2 linked regions of the Kluyveromyces lactis genome follow. The protein of the gene in region 1 purifies or fractionates together with the protein of each later gene. This does not show direct contact. Links are inferred from orthologs where the notes say so. Each region holds a gene or a part of one and is shown on either strand. Other genes may lie near its edges. The genes, in order: PRE4 and PRE8.

The links.
Region 2: the proteins of PRE4 (region 1) and PRE8 purify together in Saccharomyces cerevisiae (affinity purification with mass spectrometry; 5 studies listed by BioGRID). This does not show direct contact. The link is inferred for Kluyveromyces lactis from reciprocal best matches to the Saccharomyces cerevisiae genes PRE4 and PRE8.

What each region holds. Positions count from the first base shown.
Region 1 is NC_006040.1:986,368-989,359, reverse strand, and holds PRE4 (proteasome core particle subunit beta 7), read right to left. Parts: upstream 1,517-2,992; coding exon 719-1,516; downstream 1-718. Other genes in the region: 3',5'-cyclic-nucleotide phosphodiesterase PDE1, read right to left, coding at 1-108; RTG2 (Rtg2p), read right to left, coding at 1,942-2,992. UniProt on the Saccharomyces cerevisiae protein: Non-catalytic component of the proteasome which degrades poly-ubiquitinated proteins in the cytoplasm and in the nucleus. It is essential for the regulated turnover of proteins and for the removal of misfolded proteins.
Region 2 is NC_006040.1:875,333-878,385, reverse strand, and holds PRE8 (proteasome core particle subunit alpha 2), read left to right. Parts: upstream 1-1,458; coding exon 1,459-2,211; downstream 2,212-3,053. Other genes in the region: KLLA0_D10395g (uncharacterized protein), read right to left, coding at 104-781, 918-923; UTP14 (Utp14p), read right to left, coding at 2,441-3,053. UniProt on the Saccharomyces cerevisiae protein: The proteasome degrades poly-ubiquitinated proteins in the cytoplasm and in the nucleus. It is essential for the regulated turnover of proteins and for the removal of misfolded proteins.

The sequences.
Region 1 (2,992 bases):
ACTCGATCCTGCGCGTTTCATCAAGAAACTCTGTGTATGATTGTTTAGGGGGCCCCCACAGCTTCCTAAGATAGTTAGTTCAAATGAGCATCCAGGATACGTAGACATCTTTTCACTTTCGAAACCAGAATGGAAATATATCGCAAGATATCGGTAAAAATCTGTTTCCTGGCGTATAGATGCCTACCCTACAAGCCAGTTGTATTTGAGAGTATGGAATATAGGTATACTGGGCTAGCGCTATAAGTCCTCTAGTCTTTCCTTTGTCGATGATTCATTAATCAATTAGGTTACTACTTGTTTATATAGAATTAAACTTGTTTTCTAAAAGAATTGGAACTGTAAAAGAATAAAGAAAGGTAACTCCAACGATAACCTTCATATATACAGGTCCCTTCACTCGAAATATCTTAGTGACATAATGACTGAGCTGGCTGTCCAGTAGTTGACAGCATTGACGCCGTTTTGATCAGTTTCTTTCTTGGTGTATTATGTGTGAATATGTGCCCTAATTCAGAATTTACGCATAGTATACATTTATAGAGAAAACACAGAAGAGGTGAGGTCTTCCCGTTATTGACAAAGAAAGTATATATTACCAGAGCAGGATCACCATGTGTTGCTCTTCCTTTGTTGGCATGAGATTGTGTATTTTGGTGCAAGTATTATCTGCGTGGATAAGTGAAAGCATGAAGACAAGACGAAGTAAATCCGAAACCTATACCTTTTGGGTACCATATCCTCTGATGTCTTTGGCGAATTCCCAAGACATATTCTCTACTTGTAGGTCCTTTTCGATATTGAGCCCCAGTTCATTGTCGATTATAGCCAATGAAAACTTACGTGAACTACGGGCATCACGGTAGTATAATATTTTCATTGCCTCTAGGATAGCTTTCTTAGCAACATCTAGATTCACTTTTTCCACGTCCTTTTCGGTGTCTACTAGCTTTCTTAAAAGGGGCAATGCCAAGTGGGCACCGAACCCTGTAGCCAACGTTGGCGAAGAGTATGTGACACCTAATAGGTTAACGTATCTTAAAAATGGCTTTCCATCTTCTGTGCCCCCTACAATTATCGCATTCCATAAAGGATCTAACTTGGATCTACGTTGGTACATCACAGATGATAGATATTCAAAAACGAAGCTTGGTTTCAATTGCTCCTCATTATCCGCATATGCGCTATCGTAATTGTTTTCAATTTCCATCTCGTCTAATAGATGTTGAATGTATTGCATATCGGAAATGTCACCGGATACACCAACAACCGTGTTGGGACCCACTTTGATCAATCTCTCCTCGTTTGTGAAACGTAATAACGAACCGTAAGCACCTAGATTATCAGCTGCAACAATAACACCGTTATTATACTTAATACTGATGACAGAAGTACCGGTAATAATAGGGTTCTGAGTATTCATCTTTGGATTATTTGACGCTTGGGCAATGGCATGATTGTACGCGCCATAGTGTTCGTCAGATGGCCTTCCCCAGGCAAATGGATCGTGATTCATGTTGGAAAGTGTTTCAATGGATTGGATTCGCAGAAAATACCCTTGGTGACTCTTTAGTGTTGATTGTAACCTGTCGTGAAGTGAACTCCTTATGTATTAATTATGAATTGCATGTCTCTCTTATATTCGATAGTGGCAAAATCGTTCTAATAAGGTAAAATGTTAAAGGGCGGGTAACGCTATATTTTTCCAGCTAAAACAGAGTGATCAACAGAGGATACGACCATCGGATAGTAGTACACAGCAGCGCACTACACTACCTATATGGCGCTTTCACGAATATTTATATCACATTTTAGGGTCTGAGGCTTGTTACAAACAGGGTAAATTAGATATTAAATCTTCAACAGGAAGGGAGGCTGAGGGAAGTAAAATAAAGAGCATTCTATATAAAGCCTATACATACTGAGATCGCAATTGAGTGTTCAATAGAATTCTACATTGATCTTAACCTTGTCGCTGGAACCACGGGATAATTTCCTTATTTTCTTTTGCAACGTGATGATTCTTTGCCTCACAGAAGCAATAGTCTTTAGATCGTTTCTGTTAATCTTGACAACAACTTCGAATATCCTCTTGTTCGGGTTCCCTGTTGGAGTTGGCTTGCCGTTTCCTGAAAGGTTCTCATCTATAGATAGCATCTGTAAATCAATAGCCGATTCATCTTTCTCCGAAGTGCTGAAATGGAAGACACCATCTCCAATGTTACCACCAGGGTGAACACCACAAATGACATACATGATAGTGCCAATGTATTTTGTCCACCATATTGTCCTTTCACGTTCTAGTTTGTCACCATCTCTTAGTGCAATGTCTTCCAATAGCTTTTTGTACACTTCTTCAGGTTCTGGTATGTCTCCACCCCATCTATTGCACAATGCTATTCCCACCAAAGCTCTTGATCTGTGAGATAGCCCATGACACCCAGCAATGATACCAGATGTACCTACACGTAGTGCTGCGGTCGGTTGTAGTTCCTTTGGATATGAAGCGTGTACGAAAGCGAGGTTACAAAGAGCAGGAGCTATTCTTTCGTATACTATCTTTGGAATCTCTTTAGTAGGTATAGCAGTCCTTAATAGTTCCAAATATTTGTGAACAAGCAAAGGAGCATAGGGTCTGGTTGCAATGACAAGTGGATCCTGTGCTCTAATCTCCCTTGGAAGAATCGAGTATAAAGTACCTTCTCTGACACCACCTTCACTGAAATGAACGTTTTTGATCTTGGGCAATGACTCGGAAGCTGCTGCCATGAGTAGGCCTACAGCTGGTAATTGTTTGGCTCTTCTATCAGAGACTTTAAAGATCTTACTTGCCGATTCACCTGGAACTCTCTCCTTCAAAAACAAGTAGTCACACATGTTTGAGAACTCGCTAAAACTGCATGAAAATCCATTTATAATTGTTTGAATAGGATATTCTTTGATCTGCGATAATAGAAGATGACCCATCCCTCGCAAGCCACCACCGCATGTA
Region 2 (3,053 bases), about 110 kb from region 1:
GCAAAACACTTGTACATAGCGATAGGAACAGTTCTATAATCGAAGACTTTATTTAATATATATTACATCAATTGTAAACACATTTTCAGTAATTATAGGGTTATCATTTGATATCTTTTGTCGTCGTGGTTGTCAGTTTTTGTTTCTTGCGAGAACTAAGAAGGGGTTTACCGTCTGATTTACGTTTTCTTGGCTTTCTACTATGTAAAAGGTTCTGATTTTGGAGCCAGCTTTGTCTTTCCACTAGCCTCTGTACATCATCTTGTTCTGTAGGATTTAATACAACAATGTTCAATCGCGTGTAGCTGGTACCACAAACATAACAACCGGTTCCGTTATCTAATGCGCTTAAGGTGTTCACATGTCCGCATGTATCAATGTAGCCAAATTTCCTACGGTTCCCCAATACAAGATCAGTTGTTGTTGTACCAGTACCGGATAAACTGACACCAAGAGTGCCATTGCCAAGTTCTTGCAAATTCGTTAACTCCACTAAATCCTTTCGCAGCTTAATATGTGAAAAGGCATCTATGACCACTTGGGTGTATTCTTCAGACTTATACTCGGGCTTCACCAAGAGCCATTCCAATATTGACTCCTTATTGAAAAGGTTGCCCTTACAGTCACTAAACAAAGGTGGCATTAGTGGTGTCCCCAAGAGACGACAATTGGACCACAAGTCATTCCAATAGTACTCTAATTTCTTAGCTTTGGCCGCATTTTTGGAGGCGTCATCGACTACTCTGATTCTAACGCCTTTAATTATGGATCCTCCATCGTTCTTAACCGTAAAGTTTTGTTAATTGTTAGTAACACATGCTTCAATTCATATCATTAACGTTACGTTATAGTCAGAACGAACGTGTCATTCGCTAGCTTCGGAGAAGTAACTCAAAAAGAAAAGGGAAAAAACGTACTCCCATATTGCGTGAGGATATAATAGATCAGTACAGGTTTTCAGAACCCCCCGAATACAGTCCAAAATATTTTCTTCTTGCTCATCTCATCTTATTTACCTGTGTGAATGTGCGATGTCATTTTTTTCTGTTGCAGCCTTAAAAATCCCTCTCTGCGCGTAGAAATATACAGAGAGAATGATAACCAAAGTCTACTTAGAGAAGCAATAAGGGAAAAAAGAGGCCGACAACTATCGTTCATCTAACCTTGAACCACGAACATAAACTCTTCATGTTACGCAAAAAGCTTTTCTCAAAACCAGATCTACCTCTTGTTATCCGGTTATTGTATCGCAACGCCAGCTGGAGAGACTTGGGAATTATATTGTTACCCGGAAATATCCATCCTACATTGAAATTTAGGAAAAACCTTTAAAAGGTGGCAAACAATATGAGCTCTGAGCATGTTTCGTTTCTGTCGTAGAAGACAGCAACCAGAGCTAATTGAGTCCAGGATTGCGCATCAGTACTGCAGGTACTCATAACTAATATTAAATAAAAGATGGCTGACAGATATTCGTTTTCTTTAACGACGTTTTCCCCAAGTGGTAAATTAGGACAAATTGATTATGCTTTAGCGGCTGTCAAGCAAGGTGTTACTTCGTTGGGTATAAAATCGACCAATGGTATTGTGATTGCCACTGAAAAGAAGTCTTCATCAAGTTTGGCATTACCAGATACCGTATCCAAAGTTTCGCTCATAACACCCGACATTGGTGCAGTATATTCTGGTATGGGGCCAGATTTCAGAGTCTTGGTGGATAAGGCAAGAAAAGTAGCACATACGAATTATAAGAGAATTTATGGGGAATACCCTCCAACTAAGATATTAGTCTCTGAAGTAGCTAAGATTATGCAAGAGGCAACTCAATCAGGTGGTGTCAGACCGTTTGGTGTTTCTGTACTGGTAGCAGGACACGACGAACATAATGGGTTCGGTCTTTATCAAGTGGATCCATCTGGTGCATATTTCCCATGGAAGGCAACTGCCATTGGCAAAGGCTCGTCTGCTGCTAAGACATTTTTAGAGAAGAGATGGAATGAAGAATTAGAACTTGAAGATGCTATACACATTGCTCTTTTAACATTGAAGGAATCAGTGGAAGGAGAATTTAATGGAGACACTATCGAACTTGCTATTGTAGGAGACATAAATCAAGAATTGTTGGGTTATCAAGGTGAACCTCGTGCAAAGGGCCCAAGATTCAGAAAATTGACTTCACAGGAGATTACCGATCGATTGGACGCTTTATAAGTAAAATGTTGAACGTTATCGTCACGGCACGAGCACAGGTAAGAATATAAAGGACTCACATGTCTTATGACATTTTATGTGTAATACTTCCTTATTTAATTGGTAATGAATAAATTTGGGGGGGCTACCAAGAATCGATCGAGTGTTGTATGTGTAAATTTGTATCAACGCTTGAATCTCTCATCATTATTTGACGTATATATATATATATAATACAAATTAAACGGCGCTATTTGAAAGGCGCTTTTAATGGGTCTATAACTGTACTTCCCTTGGTCAAAATTCTTGGCTTTATCATCTTTTGATGAGATGTTCTGGAAGTCCATTCTTGCCCTAGTGGCATTCTTAAAGATCTTTCGTATTGTTCTCTGCTTTCGAATGGGAAAGGGACAGAGGACGATTGATATTTTAAGTTCTTTTTGTTAACTCTCTCATTTATGATGACGTTCTTCAATGATTTGTCTCTTCTTTTGTCTTTTTCCACCACACCTTTCGTCTTCTTGATGAATTTCCGCTTTCTTTTGGTTTCAGCACCAGCACCGGCCCAATCACCCCAGCCAGGCAATGTGACGTCCTCTTCCTTATCATCTTCATCAACAGCGACTCTCCTTTTTTCCTCTTCAAATTTAGAAACAACATCGTCCCCAGCGAATGCATCGGCTATGACCTCTTGTTGTTTAAACATGGTATTTGTAGAAGTTTCATCATCAGAACCACCATAAGCATCAACGATGTTCAAAGTGTTGCTATCCTCAAGATCAAGTAGAACGTCTTCATCTTTTGTGGAACTGGGTTTCTTCTTGCTTTGTTTTACCATCTCTTTTCTGATCTTGTGCGCAGCT